Lonchura striata: one gene and its partner. The protein of the gene in region 2 purifies or fractionates together with the protein of the main gene of each other region. This does not show direct contact. Links are inferred from orthologs where the notes say so. Each region holds a gene or a part of one and is shown on either strand. Other genes may lie near its edges.

Region 1 (11,959 bases), on a different chromosome or scaffold from region 2:
AAAAATGTCACTCCCCCAAGCAGAAGTTTTGTGCTATTTAAGCCAAATTACATTTTTGTTCACTTTCTTTTAAACCCTTTCTTAAGGATACATTCCACATAAGGGATGATATTTTACTGTAACAAAAGGAAGATATCTAAAACATGACAAAAATTTGTTGGCCAAATATCGCGTTGAAAATTCGAGTTACTGTTTATTATGCTTCAAACATGTTTGCAAAGGCAGTCTTAAAGTCATAATTGGATGTTTCTTGATGAGCAGATTTCTTCTCCTACGATCTACGCGAGCAAAGTTAATCACCTCAAACATCAACTAAGAATATAACAATAGCTCCTTAATTCCATAAAGACCGCCCGTCCCCCATAAACACTCTAAATTAGGAAATGCTAAAGAAACGATGCTAAGACACTGCATCATCCTAGAAATGTACATGTTTTAAAAAATCCTAAAAGCTTAGCTTGAGGATTTGACACATAAATCATTGCGGAAAAAAGTATCAGATAACAGAAATGCTGTATGCTAAACCACCCCCCTAAAAATAACCCAATCAAACCACAAAAAACCCATCACTACCAAACACACACACCCCCCCCCCACCCCCACCCCCCACCCCCCAACAATAAAGCAACAACAAAAAGAAAAACAAACAAGCCACTACCTCAAATTCAGTGCCGAACGAGCCTGGGCAACGAACAGCCTCAGCGAACAAAAGGGTTTCTCTGTCTGAGGAGCAGGCAGAGGTAAAGAAATATCTGGGGCCTTAGAAGTCCTGACACAATCCAGGACAAGTTTAGCGATTTCCTGGTGTTATTTTATTTTTGTTTTGGATTGTACTTATTTTTCTTCCTTTACAAAAATAGTCTAATTCCTGGTAACGTGCATGGAAACATGAATAAATTACCATCTCAGCAATCACCCCTGCGCCCGGTGTAAGAGAAAGAGTGAAAAGTCTGTGGCACCTGAACTCCTTAGGCAATACTTTGCAACACCGAGCCTAAAGGAGAGCTCTGGGAGCGAGTGCTGGCTTAAACTAAGTCTAGAGAGACATACATCAAGGCTACCCTTTCCAGGAATTATTGTGCATCATGCTTATCTAATTAATGCTTATTAGCCAACCTCAAACTCTGACATGGTGAGATTGTGCTTTCCTCCAGCCTGATCTGTCTCTTTCCTCCCTTCAGTACACTGACAGCAGATTTATTTTTTACATTGCAAACAAAATAATATTTTACGTATGTGCCATTGGATTTCCTACAGCATACAATCAGATGCAAGTGGTAAATAATAAATCATTTTCTTTGTCAGCTGCAGCAGATGCTGCTCTTTTAAGTTGTTTAGGCATTAGTACACAGAATGAGGACTCTAGGCTTCAAGTATTTAAATCACACCTATTGTATTTTATTATTTCCTATAGTTTTGTTGAAAAAGAGTTTTTGATTTTTTTTTTTTTTTTTTTTTTTGCATCACTTGTTTTAATGACAATAGAGTCAAGAAAATGGGGGAGGGTAGGAGCTTCCAAGTGGTGGTATCATCTCTCCATCCCCAAACAAAGCAATCGTTTTCTCATAGTGATGATTAATTTTGAATTGCAGGAGTGAGAGTGAAAGCTAAGAATATCAGAGAGTTCTCTCCTTCTCCCCCACACAGTGCAAAGCAGGGTGTCCCATCTCTCATCCATAACCTTTCACTTCTCTCTCTTTCCTGTAGATCTGTTTGCATCTGTTTATATATTACTTATTTTCGGGAGATACCCTCTTCCTCCCCTTATTCTTTCAGCACGACAAATACACGTTTGCGAGAATTCAGATTTTCTACTGCTTCATTATTCACCCCCTGGCATTTTTTTTCCTTTTTCTTCCTCTTTTCTGTCTTTCCAAGATAAGCTCTTTAAAGCGTTTGCGATAACATCTCCGACCTAGAGATTATTTTTCATTCGGCCTATTGTGAGCAGTCGCCGTTTTATTGCACTGCTGCAGAGCTCAGTTTGGGCTACAAACGTAACAAATGAACAACTTGTCCTCTGCGGACTCACCGCGGGATCCAATTAGTTCCTAAACCTTTTGCACAAGTTTTCTAATTATTTTCAAGAGTTGTGGCCTTTACAGGCTTCCCTAAACTCATCAAGACACCAATTCTTTCGAGGATTAAATGCGTCTTAAAATTACTAGCAGCGTTGCCCCCTCGAAACTAAGAGATTGATTCTCCGGGCAACGCAGCTTTCTTAGGGACGCCCGCGTGAATTACTGGGCTTCAGCGGGCACTGAGAGAAAAAGAGACGAGTTTTCAAAACTTTACATGTAAGTGCATCCACACAGGTTTGATTTGTTGATTTATTTTTGTTTGTTTGTTTGGTTGGTTGGTGGTTTTTACCCCCTAAAACGTTTAAACATCGGTATGCAAGGCGGGGTGTCACGTGAGGCCCCGGCGCCCTGCCTCCCTGCCGTGGACTGCGCCTTCACCTCGCCCTGCTCGGCTCCTGCCCCCCCGCCCGGCCGGAGGGGCACAGCGGAGAGCCGGCTGCCAAAAAATACCGCTACTTGCACCATTCCTAAAGCCAAAGTGTCCGCAGCACGGAAAGTACATAAATACATACAGCCTAGACACTTCCGGAAGAGCCCTCCTTTAAGACAAGGGTTATATTTTATACACACACATATCATAGCTGGTTAAATTTGGTCGAACGATCATATTATAGCTGATATGTGTGTGTGTATACGCACACATACACATCCTTTGCTAATATATCTCGAATCATCAGAGACGAAATTAATTTATTTCAGTACAGTAAGTCTTTGAATGCATTTCAGAGATTGCAGGAAGAACACGTACGTATAGAATAATGCACCTTGGCCTTTTTCCCAACGTGTGCTTATATACTTAAATTGTATACGTATGCATGTATATTTGCATACATATGCAATGCTAAGCATTTTCAGCCTAAGTCAGATTTTAGTAAAACACCCTGCCTCCTACTAACAATTTTAAAGCAGATTTTATAAGAGTTCTGCCCCAAAATGGACATCAAAATAGTGGCCGTAGTGATTGACTAAATACCTTGATCCTTTACATTTGAAAATACTGCAGTTAAAGACAGCATGGGAGGGGGCGGGGGGAGAAAGAAAGGAGCATGTGAAAAATGGTGGACTGTGCAATAAGCAGCACTCTGATCTCACTGTAACTTTAAAGCCTCTGCCACATTAAGGTTAATAAAAGAGACAAAAAAACTATCAAGTATATATGAATTTAGCCTATTTTTTTATTTCTGTGTGTTCATAGTAAACATTTTTGTAAGTGACAAACACGGGCATATGACCACAGTATCACAATCAAGAAATTTTAAGACGACATTAACAATCACTCAAATTTATGCGGCTTTTGCGCAACACAGGTTACATATTTGCAAGGTTTACCTATAAGTACAATAGGTATTAACATTTCACTACATTTAGAAAAAAAATAAAGGTGACCTGTTAGTGACCACATACATCAAAATATACACAACACAAACTGAAGGCAATCATTAATTTTGTCCCCTTCTGATTCATTTGAACGGGCAGTGCTGAAAACTGAAATAATGTTGCTGTTTTTTAAATTACTTCGTACACTGAGTGCATTTTCTAAAACCCAATCTTTGGTCTAAAAGTAAACAAACAAACAAATGAACAAAAAAAGAAAAAAAAAAAAAGCAATTCGGTAAAGAAAAAAATAAAATAATAAATGGCCAAAACTAGATCTTGGGCATTTTTCAGTATTAATTCTGCTTAAATACAAATTATGTTTTAAGGTTTCTTTAATAGTTTTCATAAATTTAGTAGTTTGATTTGGTTTTTTTTTTTCCTTTCACGGTCTGCACCCACCGACATATCCATGATAACTTATAATACTGCAAACATGGAGAATCGGGTGGCTTTTAGTGATAGACTTATCATATTTGAGTAAAAAAATTGCAAAAGCAGTCACTATTTAGATACACATTCTACTATAATTTTGTCTTCCAAACTTCATAGTCTACAATGCAATCTCCCCACATTGCACCTTGCTGACACTCCTCACCTTGGTGGAATAATAAACAACCCTAAAGACTGAACAAACGTACAGAAAATGGGGGACTTAATAAAAAATACCTGGACTTTTTTGTTTTGCTTTTTTTTTCCTTTTAATTATCATTTACAATGCAAATGTGTGTAAAATGTTCACTTACAGTCTGATCCCATGGATGTTAATGTATTAAAGGGTTTGAAGAAGACCCCTGATTTTGATGTGTGAAATAATCAGAAAGTCCTCCGGAAAGTCCCGTTGTAAAACTTGGCAAAGAAGGTCTTAAGGACTCACAGGGGAGAGTGGAGGGCGCCTGTGGCGACGTGGAGGAGGAGGCTGCCCTGGCCGTCATTGAAGTGCTGCTTTGAGAAGTCATTGAAGGGTGAGGAACATGGGGGAAAAAGTAACTCGTCTGTCCTGCTAGGAGATTTACAGAGCAGGGATTTAGGGAATAGGTGCCGGAGCAGGGAACTGACAAGCCACACGGCACTGAGGCGGCCAGAGCTGCTGCTGTGAGGTGATGAGTGGCATAAGGTATCTCTCCATTGACTAGTCTATCAACACTTAACCCATTAGACGTGGAAAAGGAGTGGTTGTTTCCCAAGGAGTTTTGAGTCAACACTGAGCTGTAGGGCATGGGGTGGCTGGGGTAGGCGGACGTGGTCCCATTGTAACTCAAAGTGCTGCTGGCCCGGGGGTGGTGCAGGGAGAGGAAGGGGGACATAGGCCAGTACAAGGATCCTGCCCTATCCATGAATGTCAGTCCGGTAGAGGTGAGCCGGGCGCCCCGCTTAAAGGCCAGCTTGGCCCGAGAGGTGGTGGAGCGCCGGCGGAGCTTGCCGGTGGTGCCCCCGATGAAGACGTCGTCGCTGGAGGGGTCCAGCATCCAGTAGTTCCCTTTGCCCGGGTCGTCGTAGTGGCGGGGCACCTTGACGAAGCACTTATTGAGCGAGAGGTTGTGCCGAATGGAGTTCTGCCAGCCCTGCTTGTTCTCCCGGTAGTATGGGAAGTTCTTCATGATGAACTCGTAGATGCCATTGAGAGTGAGGCGCTTCTCGGGGCTCTGCCGGATGGCCATCATGATGAGCGCGTTGTAGCTGAACGGCGGCTTCTCGTACTTGCCGTTCTTTTTCTCCCCCTCCTTCCCGCTCTCCCCGTCCTTGGCCCCCTCCGCCGCCCCCTTCTTCTCCTCGGCCGCTTTCTCCTTCTCCTCCAGCTCCGCTGCCGCCGCCGCCGCCGCGCCCGCTTCGCCTTTGCCCGCCAGCATGTCCGCCTTGGCCACCTCCAGGGCGCCGGAGGCGGTGGCGGTGGGGGGCGGCAGGAGGTGCTGCCCCTTCTCCTCGTCCTCCTCCTCGGCTGCGGCCGCTCGCTGGGGCTGCTGCGGCGGCGGGTGGTGGTGGTGGTGGTGGTGATGGTGGTGGTGATGGGGGTGGTGGCTGTTGTGGTGGCTGTGGCTGCTGTGGTTGTTGTCGCTCTGGACGGCTTCGGGCACCAGGCTGTTTATGCTAAAGGAGGATTTCGGCAGCATTTTCACTTCCTTCCTATCTCCCATGTCCAACATCACACACTAGTCTGAGGGGGAAAGTTGCGGCGGCTGAGGGAGCTGCGCGCGGGGCGGCGGCGGAGGCGGCGGCCGAAGCGGTGGCGGTGGCCGAGGCGGCGGCGGCACCACCGGCGGCGGTGGCGGCGGCGGCGGCAGCGCAGTTGGACCGCAGTCTCAAGCGCTGGCAAGTCATGTAGCACGGACAGGAACCGCCGGGGAGGGAAAAAATAATGGTAATAATAATCACCGATCAGAGAAAAATCAAACCGAGCCGGAGCGGAGGAAAAAAAATAAAAAAAAGGTAGAAAAGGAAAAAAACCTTCTGAAACCTAAAGAGAAAAAAAAAAAAAAAAGGCAACAACACACAAACACAGACACACCAAAAAAAAAAAAAAAAAAGCTACTTCATGGTGCCCGGTTCCCCCGGCACGGCAGCGCAGGGGGAGGCAGGAGGGAGCAGCAGCCGCCGCGGGCCGGCGCGGAGCGAGGCAGACGGGCGATACAGCCCGCCCCGGCCGCAATTAATTTCAGAGCTGCCGGCACGCACCGGGGCTGTAAAACATTTTTTGGTTTAACCTTTCCCACCGGCCGCCCAATCAGGGCCGGCGGCGTGCCCGCGCGTCTGCCCGCCCGCCGGCCAATGGCGGCGCGCCGCCCCGCCCCGCCCCGCCCCGCGCGCCCCGCCCCCGCCGCCGCCGCGGCTCCCGCGGCGCAGGGATACCGGCGCAGGGGCGCATCACCGCGCGGTGCGCGCGCCCCCCGCCCCGTGCCCCCCCGGCCGCCGCCGCCAGCACAAATCCCCCCGCGCCCAACAACCCGCGCCCGTCCCGCCGCGGCGGGCCCGGCCCGGCCCGGCCGCTCCCCCGGTTCCGCCGGCGGACTCGAGTTGCCACGATCCGCTTTGCCCCTTCCTCTGGCGACGAAGGAGGCGGGGTGGGAGGCCGGGTGGGTGAAGCGGTCGTGGCACATCGGTGGCGGCGGAGGTACTACTTCGCGGATCCCGCCGAAGTCGCTCGGCGAATTTATTTTCCCAGGCCCGGCTATTTCTGTTTGTTATTTTGCCGAGGCAGAAAACAAAACAATCGTCCGGAGGGGACGCGGGCGGCGGGACCCGCCCGGGCTGCGGCAGCGGCCGGGGCCCGGACGCCGCTGCCCGCGGCCTGCCTGGGGAAGACCGGGCCGCCCGGGCCGTGCCCGCCGCTCTCCGGACTGTGAGTTGGGCGGCTCGGGAGCGAGCGGCCCGTCTCCTGCCCTGCTCTCGCCCCGTGTCACCGAGGCCGGAGCCGGGCTTCGCGCTTCCCGCCCCTCAGCCCCGCGCCGCTGCCGCTCGGGCGGCGCTTCCCCCGCGCGGCGCCGGGCTGCGGCCGCCTCCTGCTCGGCGCTGCCGGGCTGACCGAGCCAGCGCACAGGCCGCGCACGGGCGTACAAAATAAATGTTGGTGTTGGTAGCCCATGAAATCGACACTGCGGTTTCCTGCCGGCCCGGCCCGTGGGCCTGGCCACGGGGTCTGAGTTCCGCGGGGTTTAGTTTTGCTGGGATAAGGGATAGGGCGGGCGGCAGCAGGCCGGGTTCTCCTGGGGAGGGAAAGGGTCTGGCACCGCCGCTTTCCACAAGTAGACGCGGTGATACAGGCTCGGGTTTACGGCTGCGCTTTGCCAGGACCAAAGGGTTGGGTATTAATCGTCCACACCATATCGGTTTATACTGTCAACACGGGAACAAAAAAAAAAAAAAAAAACCAAAAACAAGCGAAAACAAAGTGAAATACATCGCGCAGCTTTCTTAACTCGGAAAGAAGGGGAAATGTAATGGACAGAGAGCGTGCTGATCGCATTCAGACCAAAGCTGTGGTAAACCTCTAGCACCGCGTTAAGCTGCTTCACGTTTGTGCTGGAGGAAAAGATGCTCCGTAGAAACAATGCGTGCAGCTCAACCCCAGCTAAAACAACTTATCCCAAGGAAATTCAGGTTAGAGCACAATGCAATGAATGTAGTTCTGTGCAGATGTGTAGACGCGCGTTTTATATATGTGTTTGTGTATGTCTGTGTACGAGGGAGGGAGGAAAAGCGAGTGTGGGAAAGAGAGTGTAAATAACGAGGACAAGTAAAATGGACCGGTAATAAACAATTGCAATTGGGGATGGCATGAACTCTGGGCATTGGATTAACCTCGAATGACCTTACCACAATTGTATTTATTTAACCAATTTCATAACAGGTTGCTACTGACACACACACACACAAGTTAATGATCAACAACCACTCTTTTTTTCTTTGTTGTTTAGTTTGGATTTTTTTTTTTTTTTAGAAATTCAGGTTGTTTGTTTTGTATTTTTTTTTTATCAAGACAATTTATAATTATTTCGTTTCTCAACACTGAAGTCAATGTATGGGATTTCTTGACGAAGAGTGCAATGAGGAGGATATTATCTGACTTTACCATAGCAAGGGGTAAGAGGAAAGGTAAGCTTCCTGCGTATTATTATGATTATGATGATCATTAACTAATATGTGTCATTATGGTGCACTAGGATCCCATTAGGGTGGCTGGGCCCAGTGCGTTTTCCTACTCGGTCTAGCATGTAATGATTCGGTGTAACCAGATTCTTGAGAAAGGACAGGTTACATAAACATTTACTGATGTGGAGTAACTATACTATTTGTACTCTGATATGCAGGAAGGAAAGTGTTGATTAACACAGAAGAAAAAAAAAGCGAAATTAGCTGATTGCATGCTCATAAGTGCAAGCTGTCATTGAACTGCTTTTAAAATAGACACAGCTGGGTGTTTGTGTTGAAAAATTTCTTGTGTTTTTGCTAATACTGAAATAAGCATGATTTTGTATACCAAACATTTTCAGATCATTAAAATTTGTAATCTGTGGTGGTTTTAAACACAAAGAAAAGAAACAGATTCATTTCGTTGTAAAATTTGCTGATATTATATTAACTCAATCAGGTCTGTACAAATGGTGTATTGTGCCTTATCAAATCTCTTTGATCCATTTAATACACAAAGTGCCAAACGTGTGTATTGTTTGTTAACATTGAACGTTTTATTCAAATCCCAGCTCTGTAGCGAACTGGAGGAGTTCTTGTTTAATGTAACACTGACATTGCCTGTTGAAATTTTAATGCCTTGAGGTGTTTCTTAGGTCAAAGCTGAGTTTACTTTGTGTTGTGATCAGCGATGAAAATGTAGCAGGGAAGAAAATAGAAGTTTTATCTTTTTTTGCATTTCCGAGCAAAAGGCTAACACTGCAAGAAGCACACTTTAAAAACATTTGACGATCTAGATTTAACATTTGGTCATTTGTTATGGGTGCGGAATAAAACTCTGTGCACAAACTTAGGATTTATATATATATATTTTTTTAATGCTGTGAATATACAGTTCTACCAAAAAAGGAAATGTTTGTCCAATATGTAGTACATATCTTTTTACGTCCATGAAGATTAATTCATTGTTTACGGGAGAGAAAAAGATATGTGAGAGAAGCCACGTCAATTATAACTGGACTTTAACTTTCGAGTTTTTTTTTTTGTTTGGTTTTTTTTTTTTTTTTTGGCAGAAAAGGCATCGTTTATAAAACTATTTACTTTGGAAATGCAGGAGTCTTACTCTAATGCCAGTTCCTTCCTGAGCTCTGCCCTGAACACGACTCCACTTCAGTGGTACCTTTGTGCATCGGGGCGCTGTATGAACAGCAGGTTTGACCGCTCAACTCTGGCTAAACCCGAATTCTCTTAAGAAAACCCCTCATGGCAGCATTTTCTAACAGGGCAGGGTTTGTGGAGTGTTTGGAATAGAAGCTTGTGCGTGGAACGGAGGCACACAGCCCCAGCCCTGTGAAATACGGGTGGGTGTGCAGAGGGGAGCCGGCTCTCTGCAGAGTGTTAATGATGCCTCACCTGCACGTTCAACGAGGCTGCGGATCCACCGAACCGAGCGGCGGGGATGGACTGAGGGTATCCACTCCGGGGTCAGGATGGGGCTGAATAGCTGAGCTGAAACGTCCTGGCTGAAGTGCCATTCAGCAGCGATCTCCGTGCAGCTCTTGGGTATAACTCTTAGGGATAATGTTTCAACCACATACTTTTCTGCCCACGCCTTCCCCCCTACTTTTTTTTTTTTTTAATTTTATTTTTATTTCGTTTTAAAATTAAAGGCCAAAAGAAGAAAACACCCTCTCCAATGTACACTTAATGCATATAGCGTACTTCCCTTGCACCGCCCCCCGCCCCAGCTTCAGCCTTCAATCCCCCTTCACACGGGTATAGTGGCTCGGTACTCTCGGGCTTTTTCAAGGCGGTTAAGCTGCTAAAATGTACTGACAGCTTAAGAAATGAATGAGATTTTTTTTTCAGCCATGAAGAAAGGGTATTTAGTAACCACGCTTCGATGGCATCATGCTTCCATGAAACGAGTCCGGACACTTTGGTTTAACAATCAGTAATATCATATTCGGTACAGTAAATGCCTCCATGTACGCTTATATAATTCTATTCCCCCTTGACTATAAGCTTGCCGTATTTATTCCAGGTTACCTGGGCAATTAAGGTAAGGACTGCTCAGCAGATACTGATATCCTGCTGCTAAGGCATGGCGAATGGGGACGGAGCAGTGCGCTAACAAAGAGAGAGAGGTAGTCAAACATTTTGAAGAGGGGTGAATGGGACTGAAGGTGGATGGATGAATGGAGGCAAAGAGGGAGAGGAAGAAGCATTCAATGGTCCAGACTTCTCTCTGCATTTGTAGATTTAAGTTTAGGTGTCCGCCTCTAGCCAGCTTCCAGTTAATCCTCAACAGCTTCTAGTGATTAGAAGTTAGTCTATTTAGCATGCTATATCCTTCTTCCATGGGTTTTAGTTACAAGTTATACGATTAGGATTGCGAGAACAGTAGTGAACTAAACTTCCCAGTAAGAGGTCTTCACACCAGGGAAGTGTTACTTTGCTGCAGCAGCCCTGCCTCGTCAGTCATTAGGAAGCTGCAGGTTGTCAGAGGCTTCTCTTGCGCGCACACAAGCGCAGACACACACGCGCACACACACAAAACCACAGCACTAAAACTAAATTAAGAAGCCGATGATTAAGACAAGCGTCTACAAGGCCTGTCATTTCAGCATCCTTCCATCATAACATTGTGGCACCGAGAAATTTGCTTGAAAACCCTGGAAAAAAATGTCTATGGGAGAGCCTCGTATTTGAGGCTGTTAATATCAAATATAGACTGGGAACTGCCTCGGATGCAAGATAGTATTCCGCAGAGGAAAGGAGCACTGCAGAGACCTTGGTGCTATCCGCGCGTTCCCGAAACTCTGGTAAGTATCTCTCCCTTCTATTGCAGCAGGTACGCACTGTGTAACTGGAACTGGACCGGGTTTGAAATCCGCAGCTATGTTCCCTTCTGGGAAATGCCCCTAAAGATAAATCTGTAATGAAAGGTCCTTACTGGATGACTAATGGTTATTGGCAGTCGGTGCCCCTTTGAGGAGAGCAGCACATATTGTGCCGAAGACCTTGCAAGCACACTTTAAATACAAACCTTTTAAGTTTCCCTCCCATGCATACACATCCCTGTTGTTTTTGGGCTAGCTGTACTGTGTGTCTCCCCCCTGCCCCCCCCCCCCCCCCCATTTAAGCTCTCTAGTCTTCCCTCCCCCCACCCCATTCAGAACTAATTGCTCAGTTACTTAAATGTTTCAAAAAGAGCTAAGTTTCTCCATCCGATGATCTTTTGAGAGGCTGCACTGTACCAAAAAGAACCGCCAGCGGGGCACTGTATACCTTGGAGAAGCCTGAGCAACTAGGGGAGAGGTAGAGTTTAAAACAATGACATTAATAAACTAAGTGCACTGAGTTCCCTCCCGTTGAACTTTAGGGAGTTTCTTGGGCGGGCAGAGGTTCAACGGAGAACGTCGAAATGGGAAACAATGGCTGTAGGGGCCAGAAAGCTTTGCTGATGTCGTAAGCGTAAAACAAGACAGAATAGTGACAGAAAGAGATCCGGGTAAACATTGGAGTATACATTTCCCACGGCGACTACGCTGAGTGGAGAGGTCTGAATTAAATCGCCTTAATTAAAAGCTGAAGATTTTATTTATTTATTCCTGTAGCTATAGAATGCCATCCACAGAAAGCCTATCTAGGGAGTGTAGAGCATCCACTAGATTTATTGTGTTCAGCTGCCACTGCCGGAATTTTTCAGAACAGAATATTTTTATACTCACTGCCAACTTGAAGACCTGCGGGCTTTTAGATCCTATATATCGCTTTTAAAAAATATGCCGGTGTGCAGAAAAGAGCCATTACACCTGCACAGGCAGTAGGTCTGTCTTGTGTAACACAAGCTCTCCTTAATTCAGAAATCAAAC
Region 2 (11,951 bases):
TACAACTGGTTAACACAATCAATGCAGCTTTGGAGTTTATATACTTTTCTACAACAGGTATGCTACTGAATGACAGGTCTGCCTCCAGGCAGGTCGCAGAGATCAAAAAGACCCACCCAAAGAGAAGGAAACCTTGCTATAACTGCTGGGATAGCAGAAACCTAGACGCTGCAGTAGTTTATAAGTCTAGCACTGCCGAACTTTTTTTCCTGTGGCTGCCTGCCAATGAACAAAAGATAATCTTGCACCTAACCAATCCAGACATTAAATGCACAGGAAAGAAACCTTATCTTCTGACTTATGACAGAAGATGACAAGCAGAGCTGGCAAAAATAAAGACGCAGCGCCCTAGGAGCCAAGGGCAGCAACTCTTAAGTACAGCAGGATTTTTAATACCCAACCAACTCTTCATCTTGGCACTAGCAGTTGATTCATCTGCTTTGCCAGCCACAGATGTCACACTGGGGAAAATCTCACTTGGACCGTATAACACAGAAAAGAAATTGAAGACCACAAAATGTTCTTGACACATATGAAAACAACATCTAAATCAACACACATCCTATCTAAACAATCCTCAGGTGGTTACTTCTGTTTTAGGGATGAAAAACTTGGTCACTAACTATTCACCTTACAATAATTTCTACGAATATGGTGTGTCTACATAAAACATGCTCTTAATAAAAAAACTCTGGAATTCTTAAATTAAAAGCCGATGCAGAAAAAGAAGGAAACAAACAAAAACAAGTCTAAACCAGACACAAATGTGTCAAAAAGATTATTTCCTGGTCACTATTCAGCCAGCAGGTTGATACAAAGCAGCACGTTGATTTAAGCACACATCACTCAGTTAAACATTGCAAAGGGCCAAAGCTAAATTTGAGAGGGAAGTCTTTCTGTGGCCATTTCTGGACTTAAATGCAACATATTCAAGTGAAAAGGTCTGCTGTTTGTGTATGCAAAGTTCATCTCACTTAAGTCTGTTTATAACAACACTGAAGTCTTGACTAACTTTATTTTAGTTAAATTGTAACTGATTACTAAATTAAACAAAGACAGAAGTGCTGACACAAATCCATCGGTGCAAGAACTCAAACTCATTTACATGCAGGCTAACTGCAAGTACTTAATTCTATCTAAGTGACTGTGCCTTAACAGTGATGTACACACCACACTCCATAAATAAACTCTGATGCAGTGTAATTTTTTTTCAAACACCAGCCCAAGCACTCTGAAGAGCTTCACACAGAGCAAGTACAGAATCCAAACAGGAGGGAGACCTTAAAAATGTTAAAGCTTGTTCACTGGAAAGTATCCCCATCACTGCATTTTCCAGTAACAAAGATGTTGTCAGAAATGACAATTTTTCTTGTCCCCTGATGATGCCTTGCTAGCATTTGGTTATAAGCCATAAAGCAGGAATCATTTCAGCCTGTCAGGAGTCTAGCTAATGCCCAGTTTCCCCCTAGAGAGAATTCCTGTCAAACGTAATGAGAGCTCCAAAGGCCCTTTCTACAACATAATGAGCACTTAGGCCATGCTGGTGATCAGCCAGCAAAAAGCATCAATTTGAGCCTGGCTACACCCTTGGGGGTAGACGTCACCAGTTAATAAGAATTATGATTACTATCTGTCAAAAGACTCCTCAGAACTTATCGTTAGCAGTGGAAATTCAGAAGAATGTCATTGTTAGGATTTCTTTTTTTTTTTTTTTTTTTTTTCTTCCTGTAATCTAAGGCCACCTACATACTAAACTGCAACACCATTTGGCATCCTCACTGGAGGCATCTAAATCAATAGCCTTTAGCATGAAGCAGAAATTAGAATTACTTAACATGTAAAAGCATAGTATCTGACACTCACATCCAGAGAAATGTATTTATACCTTCAAAAGCCTATTATTTTCTTAACAGCATGCACAGAGCAAGTGTGCACTATTCTCCCCAGCTACAACTAACACAGATATAATGCTCTGTCATAAATCTTAAAAGCTTCCGAAGTATCACCGCCTACTGGGTACATAATTCTAATTGCCATACATACAGAACATTAAACCTTTATACATATGTTAAGGTCAAAGTGGGAACCTTAGTTCTCACCCACTTTAATCCTGCAGGTTTAATTGATTTTACTTAAAGTTAATTCCTAGTACACTAACTGAAATCACACATTCTCTTCAAAGAGCTCCTTAAAATAACATCCATTCTGCAGCAAATGATCTTCCTATACAGATACTGGCGTCTTCAGGGGTTACATTATGCCAAGAAGTTGTTGAAGAGAAAAAAATGCAAGAAAAAAATCTTGAAAGCACAAAGATCAGAAAAATCACCTCACAGAAAAATTGACATTCTTCTAAAACACAAGCCACAAGAACATTTGTTAAGCTACAGTACAGAACCCAGTCAAATACTAAGCTTGCTGTATCATCAGGTTATTTGGTGCATTATTTTAAAAAAATAAATCTGAAGGGCAGAGAAGCAACAAGGAGTGCATCACACAAGTTTGATGGAGTCTGGTAAACTCTGTGTTACTTCTTTTAATGGTGTTTTGAATTGAAACAAGCAAAAAACCTTCTAAATCCTTAAAGAATACCTACCCAGATTTGCAGATAGAAAGCTATCATGGAATTACAATGCCATCCTACCAAATATGGTATTTTTAGGGGAAAACAAAACAAACAAAAAAAAAATTCAAAGAGTTCAGAGTTACAAAAGCAAAATTCAACTCCGTAATTCACTTGCTTAATGAATGTCTTTGAATATACTGAAGATCTGAAGCCTGAACTAATCAATTTCTTCGCTGTGCCCTAGCCGGTCAGCCATGCTCTTTAATTTAATGAAACAAGAGTTTTAGATGAAATAGCACATACACATCAAGAAAGAATTGTATTGTTGCACTTTGAAATGTGTCCAACTGCGCAACTTCATCTAATGATAATTTTTTTAAGAGGCCATCGATTTCTGAAAGACTTATTGTACTAGCATCTTGATGAAAAAGTGAATGTCAGCATATCTACAGAATACTTACACCCTGCCATTAATGCTTTATTTGGCAGACAATGACTACTCAATTGAGGGTCCTCTGGGCTGTGCAATCATTTAGCTTTTCTTCTCTTATGAGGTCCTTAGTGTCTTGTTCCAGTTCAATACTCTTTTTATTCACCATTATAGTGGCCATAAGTGTGAATTTTATGGGAACTTGCAAACTCATAGTCATAACTAGATCTTTCCAAGTCACTAATCTGTTCATACCTCTATAAGGCTGGGATATGAGTAACTATGACTACATATGTTACACAGACACAGGATCAGTTCTACATGTCAGCGCCTATACCAGTAACAAAACAAACAAACAAAAAGAAACCCAACTCAAAATATCTCATACTTGCAAAGAACTGAACTGCATTTTTAAAATCACAGCTACAAGATCTTTTCTATTTATGCCAAAGTCTTTCAGAACCAATACCAAAAAAGGTGCTGCCACTTAACCTAATCTACACCTTATCTGACAGGAGGTAGGCAAAAGACTACTAATCAGGCTACAAATCAGGCTATTGATTCAGACACGATACCGTCATCTGACCATAAACAGCACAGATACATTTAAATGCACCAGACAGACTGCAGATTTTGCGGCTTCGAAAACAAAATGTCTTACCTGTTTGTGCATTTCAATGTTTAATCCATACGACATTTCATAGTACTGCAAATAAATGAGTACACGTTATTTTCTTATGCTGACTTACATTATATTAAAAGATATTTATTGAAATAAAGATAAAAACAAATATACTTACCATCACATAATGCCTCTGCATTTCCGTCTTTTCACTTGCCAGTTTCTCACATTCCAATTTAAGGCTACAAAATAGATCATGCTTTAATGTAACATGTCATTTTTTTTGGCATCTACCCTCCCTATTTGTATTTTGACATAAGCTGCTAATTAATAAAAAAAATAATAAACTGACTTGCAATATAGAAAGACTTAATCATACTTGAAATAAAAAGGCCAAAGAAGAAATTTAAAGAACATGCCTTGAGTGCTGTATTAGGCCTGAACTGTCTACAGAAACTAAACATATCCACTCTTCCTATTTTGACAAAGAGCTGCTATTAAGTGCTGCAACTTGCAAGTTAGAATAGGATCTGAATTTACTGTAAGTACTTTTCAGGAGTAAAAAAGATAAAAATAGAAGCATTTCTTTCTACACAGCATTTAGTAAGTGACTGCCAAGTAACACCACTCACATTTACAATTACAACTCGAGTATAATTCTTACCTTAAATACATTCTAGCAAATGTTACCTTGCCCAGTGCTTGAAAACTGGTAATTCTGAGTATCGTTTACTGGCAAGTTTCTTTTCCACTTTTGTTTTCATAAACAAAAGTAAGTTGCATTTACATGTCTCATCACAAACCATGATATAATTCTGACTACTTTCACCGAGAGCCTCAATGTTCCCTTTGTTTTCTATCAAACTGATTTTTTTAAAACTGTTACTTGTGAACATCCTATTGAACAGTTCATGTGCAAGCAGTATTTTTCACTCACAGCTACAAAGCCAGATGTTTAGAGTTTAAATTGTATTTCCTAAGCAATGAATGGCTTAAGCAAGTTAACGCTACAGTATCATAGGTAAAGGAAGAGGAAGCATAACTAAAACAAATCAATTTCTGACTGGGAAACCTGTAAAGCTTTTACTTCTGTCCAAATATTCCAGGTGCTCATAAGTACAAAATCAGTGAAGATTAATGCTCCTTAACACCACATGTCCAGGGTCAAAAAGAATCTGTACCCTAAATCTCTGGAAGGACCTCAGCAGCACGCACACACCCACAAAGAAGGGCAGCAACGAGACGTGCATCCCGCAACTTCCAAGGATTCTGGTAAACTTTGTTACTGCTCTGAGTACTTGTTTGTTTTAACCGTCCTTCCTGACTCTCAACCACAGGACGCTGGCATTTTATTAATTTTTGCATTAACACCACACACAAATGAGCAAACAGGAGAAGTAGCCTCCTTAACGCGCTGTGCCACAGAACCGGCGCAGGTCTTCCCGTGATACACTGAAATGACCCCTCCACATACGGGTTCCCAAGACACAGCGTGTTTTTTCAAACGCACAGAGCTGCCGAACGCTCCAGTTTCGGCAGTTCAAGCACGGGCCCGCGCAGGGCAGGGCTGTCCCCCGTGCGCGCCCGGTCCCCCCGGCAGCCCGCGCCGGGCCGGGGCCGCCCGCGCTCCCCTCCCGGCCCGGCGGGGTCCCCGCGGGGCTCGGCCGCGACGCCGCACGCCACCGCCTGGACGCGCCCGTTCGGTGCAGCCCCGCGCCGGCGGGGACCGCGCGGTAGTCCCTGGTCCCGGGGCGGCCCGCCGCCGCTCACCTGTGGTACTGCGCCTGGAGGAACTGGAACTCTTCTTTGATGCGGTCCAGCGACTCCGGGATGGTGAATTTAAAAGGCTGGCCCGCAGCCTGGTGCGGGGTCTGGCGCGGTGGCGGCACGGGAGAGAGATGCACGTTCAGACACTGCGCGGCCACCCCGCGAGGAAGAGGAGGGGGCGCCGTCCATCGCGGCCGAGGCGGAGGGCTAGAGAAAGCGTCCGGCCCGGTCCGCCTCCGCCCCGGGGCGCAGCGCACTTGTTACCCACCTTCCCGTCCCTCATCTGCGGTGGGACCGAGGTTAACCGCCCTCCGGATCCGACCCACCCGCTCCTGCCGCCGCCGTCTACACGAAAGCGGGAAGTGCCGACTCCTCCCCGCCGACCCCCGCCGCAGAGGCACAGCCAGCCCCGTTCCGGGCGCTGTGTGTTGGCGGATGCTGCCTGGCCCGGCGGCAAGCCCCCGCCGTCCTTCCCAAGGCAAGTAAGTTGCCCACGCAACAAAAAATACTGGGGGCCGTTCCGGCAGGCAGGATTAGCCGCTCGACCCCGGAGAGAATGAACTTGTGAGGGCACCTTCCTCTCCCTCCCCCCAGTTCCAGCCGAGCAACCGAGCTGGAGCTGCGCTGCGGACCGCCCGGCCCTCGCCCCGGACCGGCGGCCCAAGCCATACTTACGGGGTGCCGGCTCTGGGGGAACATGGCTCCGGCCACGGCGGGTCTCCCTCGCAGCGCGGCTCTCGCGGCGAGACGCCCTGCCCTGCCCCGGCTTCACACCCGGTGCGCCAAGGGGACCGGAGCGGCGACACCCGCCGACGGCCTTCCCTCCGCCGCCGCGGGCAGCAGCGGGGCGAGGCGCGGCTCAGTGCCCCCGCCGCGGGGACATTCCCCAGCCGCGGCGTCCTTTGTTGCTGTTGTTCCAAGGAGGGCTGAAGATGGCCGGGAAAGGCGGACGAGCCGCGCTTGGGACGGTCACCAGCGCTCTGCGCTCTTTCGGCGGCGCTCCGACCGGCGGGCGGCGCCCGCAACGCCCGGGCGCGGCGGGACGGGACCCGACGGGGCTCGGGGGGGAGGCAACAGCCGCCCCTCGGCAGGAGCGAATAATCCCCTTCACGGGCTCGCAGTGGTCGATGCGATTGTAAGGCCGGAAACCCCAGGCGGAGGCGACTCTTCTCTTCTGCCCCTTGTCAAAAGGGGAAAATCCAGCCGGAGGGAGGGGATCGCAGTGTCCGCGGCGGGAGCGTCGCAAGCCGAGGGGGCGAAGAAAGTCTCCAGGCAGGCACGCGTTGCTCCCAGGCGTCGGCGCAGGGGCCAAACCACCCGCAAGACACAGGGCGATGAACAAGGGAGGAAGGCAGGAGGAGGAGGAAGGAGGCGGGCGGGGGCTCTCGCACAGACGTCGCGGATCGGAGCAGCTCCAATAGCAGATGCACGAAACGCTGGAGGGCAGAGGAAAGGGTACCACACACGCAGCACAGACTCTGCCGTTAGTTGCAGAGAAGTCCCCAGGACAAAAGGAAAGCAAACCCCTCAAGATGCTCGCTGGCTTTAGCCTCCAGGCAACCAGCCCCGTTGGGGAAGATTAAAAAAAAAAAAAAAAAGAAAAAAAAAAATAGAAATGAAAGCGTTCGTTTGAGGTTCAAATCAGACGGGAAGCTCCTTCGTGCAACAGCCACCACTACAGCCTCTTACTGGCGGGCGCGTATCTGGGAGCTGCGCGTCTCACCAGAACCCCCCTATCGCGATACATCGCGGCAACATCAGCAGCATCATCCTCATCCTCGCTCTCCTCCGCGGTGGCCCGGGATAAAGTTCCTCCCAGCTGAAAAATCCGAACGGGAACACCACCGGCTTCCTTTGCCCCGGCCCCTCCGCGCCGGCCAAGGGCAAGGAGAAGCCGAGGCGGCGGCCTGGCGGGCGGCGCTCGGCGGGACCGGAGCGCGGCTGCGGCCGAGCTGGACACGCCGAGCTCGCCCGCGCCGCTTACATTAGCACGCGGTTTCACACTCCGCCGGCTAACCAGCCGCGCGGCCCCGCCCACGCCGCCGCGCGGGGGGGCGGCCGGCCAATCGCCGGCCCCGCCGCCAACGTGGGCCCGTGACGCGGCGCGGCCCCGCGGCCCAATGGCAGGAGCCGGAGTCGCGCCGCCTCCCGGCTCTCGCTGGGCCGCGTCTCTGCGGCGGAGCGGCGGCCGCGCTCGGAGCCGGCCAATGGGAGGGCGCGGGGCGCGCGGCGCCGCGGGGGGCGGGGAAGGTCGGCGGGAAGGAGAGCGGGGAGGCCGCGCTGTCCGTCAAAGTAACGTGGGGCCCGCGCGCGCGGGCGGGGCTGCGGCAGCGGGCGCGCGGCGCCTGCGCGCGGCGGCTCCGCCGGAGCCGCGGGGCGGCTCCGTCCGGCTCGGGCAGCGCCTCAGCTCCGCACCGCCCGCTCCCCCTGCGCTGCCCGCATCACACTGCCCGCTCCGCACTGCCCGCATCACACTGCCCGCACCGCACTGCCCGCTCCGCACTGCCCGCATCACACTGCCCTCATCACACTGCCTTCATCACACTGCCCGCATCACACTGCCCGCATCACACTGCCCTCATCACACTGCCTTCATCACACTGCCCTCATCACACTGCCCTCATCGCACTGCCCGCTCCGCACTGCCCTCATCACACTGCCCGCATCACACTGCCCGCATCACACTGCCCTCATCACACTGCCCGCATCACACTGCCCGCTCCGCACCGCCCGCTCCCCCTGCGCTGCCCGCATCACACTGCCCGCACCGCACTGCCCGCATCACACTGCCCTCATCACACTGCCCTCATCACACTGCCCGCATCACACTGCCCTCATCGCACTGCCCGCATCGCACTGCCCGCATCACACTGCCCTCATCACACTGCCCTCATCGCACTGCCCTCATCGCACTGCCCGCATCGCACTGCCCGCTCCGCACTGCCCGCATCGCACTGCCCGCTCCGCACTGCCCGCTCTGCACTGCCCTCATCACACTGCCCGCATCACACTGCCCTCATCGCACTGCCCGCATCGCACTGCCCGCATCACACTGCCCTCATCACACTGCCCTCATCGCACTGCCCTCATCGCACTGCCCGCATCGCACTGCCCGCATCGTACTGCCCTCATCGCACTGCCCTCATCGCACTGCCCGCACCGCACTGCCCGCACTGCCCGCTCCGCGCCCCAGCCCCAGAGCGGCGGCGACGCCCGTGACAGTGCGGCGGGTGGGTCGGGCGCACGGCCCCACCTCGTTCGCCAAACGGCGGCGGCGGGGCCGCGGCACCTGCTGACAACGCGCCGTGGAAAACGCCGAGGGAAGGATGAGCCCTCCCGCGTGCTTGCGCGACTCAGGGCACGCCAACTGCCGTGTTGGTTGGAATGACCCTCTGATCCCACGGAAGCTGTCCTTTGGGGAAAACTGCCTTCTTTTTAAGAGGGGTCTGATAGAGGAAAGCTGTCAATAACTTTGGTTTATAGGCCCACTTGAGATAGATGAGGGTCAAACAAATTCCACAGGCTCTGTGTGCTTGCTGAGGAGATGACAAATGGTGACATAGCTTGCAGTGGGAAGTACACTTCAAAACATATCCTCTATTAGCAAGCACCTTATTCATAGCAGAATTCCACAATGAAGTGTGAAATACCTCTGGACTTAAGACATTGCCTTAATACACACTTTTGCTGTTGGTATATACTTGTGTGCTGCCTAAAAAGAGGTCTTAGAATGTTGAACCACATCATTTAAACATGGTAAGGGTATTTTTTATAATTCCCCACTAGCCTTTAGAGATTGCTTCCTTAGAATTACATTGTGGTTCATCTTGTATCCTAAAGAAAGAGCATTCTGTGTTTAATATTTGATAGGAAATCTAATGTTTTGCAATATCAAAGTAAAGCTTTACTCCTTCAGAGTGATAATTTCCCATTATTATTCCCAAAATGTTCTGTATTCCCAGTTTTACTTAAAAACATCCAACACAAAAGGGAGTGAAATTGTCTCAGTCTTCTGCAGTGAAAAGTTTGGACTTTGTTCCAGGACAGCAGAGTTTTGTCAATGAGCACTGATACATCTGTGTCTCCGTGCATGTCTGTATATATGTATACAATAGGGTCTATATATAATGGGGTCTATATATAATGGGGTCTGTACCTATACATATGCTTGTATGTTTCTGTTAATGCATATGATGCATATATGCATGCATCCTGGGGAATGCATAAATAAACATGGACTTTTAATGGTTTCTAAGAGATGTGACAAAATATCCTTGATAGTGAGCTTTGATAGACTGTGGTTCCCAGGATGGGAGTGTAAACTTGTCTGGTGTTCCACCTGCATAGGCAAAGCTTAAAGTCTTGCATTCTGTTCCCAGCTCTTCCCTTGTTGTGTTGGACAAGCCAGCTCACTGCTCAGTTCATGGCAATGGAAAGCTTAATTACTTAATGCTTATTAAAGTACTTAGATCTTCAGATGAAAGGTGCCATAAAAATGCAAACTATGATTATATACTTTGTGTGTGTATCTAGTAGCTATGGAGTCTATAATAATGTAACAATTACCTAAGTTTTGTTGTACTTTGCTTAACCTGCTGGCACAAGTTGTTAAAGAGACATTGACAGATATGACATTAAAACAACACTAAGTTTTGGAACATAAACAAAAGGGGTTTGGTTTTTTTCTTAATTGCTCACCTACATGAAAGTTGAAATGTCATGTTACCTATATTTGTCAACATTAAAACATCCAAGGCATGTTTTAACAGAAGGAGAAAAGCTCTGTTTTCCTGGTTCTTATTAACAAGTGCTTTTAACCTTCTTTGATTCTGGAATCAGACACTTAAGGGCATTTTGAATCTTATCCATTGTATTTAAGAGAGAAGAGCTGTACAAGCAGAAGTAGAATCAAATGTGCTCTTTTTTTTTGTTTGTTTTTGTTTTTGTTTTGTTTTGTTTTTAATGAGAGCTACTGACATTACATAGCAGGAATTATAACCAACATGATCTGATGTTTAACTAATTTATAATGCATCATCACTGGCTCATTAAAGCATGAAAAAAATTCGTTTTGTTGGATGGGTATAAATCTGGATTAATTCCAGGAAACTGAACATTCTCGTTCCATGGCAATATTCACTATTTACTCCATAGAAAGGCAGCAAAATATGGTTAAGCATGTTGTATTCAAGTAGGTAGCATTCTGCCACAATGCTGTATATACTCTACACAATTCTCCAACTGGATTAAAAATACTTGTTTTTAAATTTCTGTCTCAGGTTTCAAAAATAAAAATATTTCCTTCAGTATTAACCCTTCCAACTGTTCTGCCCAGTCATCCGTTTTACTCTGTTGTTTGAAATAAATTGTTTTTTACTGTAAAAATGTTTGTGTCATCTTCCTACCTCATAAAGCAAAAGGCCTAATCCTAAACTGGCTACCAAAAATTCACACTGGAAGCAGTTGGAGTTTTGAGTGAAAAAAAAGCATGCTTGGGTCCAAAATGTAGGTTAAATACGCTGAAAGAGTTTCAGATGTAGCATCCATTCCTTAGCAAAACTATGATGTTCTGTTTATTGCATTGTTTATTCTTTTCCTTCACTGTTCATGGTACTTTTTATGAGCAATATTCTTTTAACTTTGTGCAAACTGGCATATTAAACAAAGATGTTGATGAAGTTAATCACTAGGTGTTAGCTGCAGGTGAGAAGTAAACAATATAGTATGTTTTGTCCTACTCTTCTACTCTATATATAGTAAGAGCAAGTCAATAGAGGAGACAGTTCTAGAATTCAATAGAGTTTATGCTTTCAAAGTTTTAGATAGATCACTGGATTTTCAACTGAAAAAGAAATATGCATGTGTTAAGGGGCATGGGGGTTATTCTGTTTTGTTTGTTTGTTTTAGGGTTTGGTTTGTTTGTTTTGGGATTTGGTTTGTTTGTTTTAATGCCAATGTGGTGTAGGTAAAATAGAAAAAAAACCCTGAATCATGCAATACATGTGGTATAGTAGTGACTGACTATACAGTTGAAAGAATAGTAATTATTATAAGGACATGCAAAACAATATCACTTTTTAAATATTCATATATTTGTGAAGTGCAAATGATGTGAGCAGGGTAAAGCAATTACATTTCTAATTATTTGCTGTCTTTTGGCTAATAGCCATTCCATACCCTCTTAGTAATTTGATTTCTTTTTAATTAGTAGCTTTCCTTGTAGGCAAGAATGTTCAAAAAGTTGCACTAGGTCATTTTACCATTATGACTGTATTCATTTCCCTCATTCCTTCACCCTTAAAAAATCCCTGAGCTGAATTAAAAAAAAAAAACAAGTCAGTAGCAGGTCGTGCAGCAGTAAAACCTCAAATAGAATCAGATCCAAAGAATCCCTTTTGGCTTCACACAGTATGGTAAAATTAGAGATTGCAGGAAACAAAAAAAAATTAGACTGGGAACATCTGAAAAGAAATGACCAGGCTTTATGAAAATGACACATTGACTGGCCAGTGTGTTTTTTTTTATCGATACTTTCTTTGTTGAGGCATACATCAAAGAAACCTGCA

Evidence for each region.
Region 1: the proteins of transducin-like enhancer protein 1 (region 2) and FOXG1 purify together in Homo sapiens (affinity purification with western blotting; 3 studies listed by BioGRID and IntAct, with this or other methods). This does not show direct contact. The link is inferred for Lonchura striata from reciprocal best matches to the Homo sapiens genes TLE1 and FOXG1.

Annotation. Positions count from the first base shown.
Region 1 is NC_134608.1:27,997,281-28,009,239, forward strand, and holds FOXG1 (forkhead box protein G1), read right to left. Parts: upstream 6,075-11,959; 5' UTR 5,600-6,074; coding exon 4,220-5,599; 3' UTR 3,233-4,219; downstream 1-3,232. UniProt on the Homo sapiens protein: Transcription repression factor which plays an important role in the establishment of the regional subdivision of the developing brain and in the development of the telencephalon.
Region 2 is NC_134642.1:25,606,659-25,618,609, forward strand, and holds the start of transducin-like enhancer protein 1, read right to left. Parts: upstream 6,418-11,951; 5' UTR 6,085-6,417; coding exon 6,061-6,084; intron 5,743-6,060; exon of another isoform or gene 5,669-5,742; coding exon of another isoform or gene 5,654-5,668; intron 5,490-5,653; coding exon 5,389-5,489; intron 3,861-5,388; coding exon 3,797-3,860; intron 3,703-3,796; coding exon 3,658-3,702; intron 1-3,657. UniProt on the Homo sapiens protein: Transcriptional corepressor that binds to a number of transcription factors. Inhibits NF-kappa-B-regulated gene expression. Inhibits the transcriptional activation mediated by FOXA2, and by CTNNB1 and TCF family members in Wnt signaling.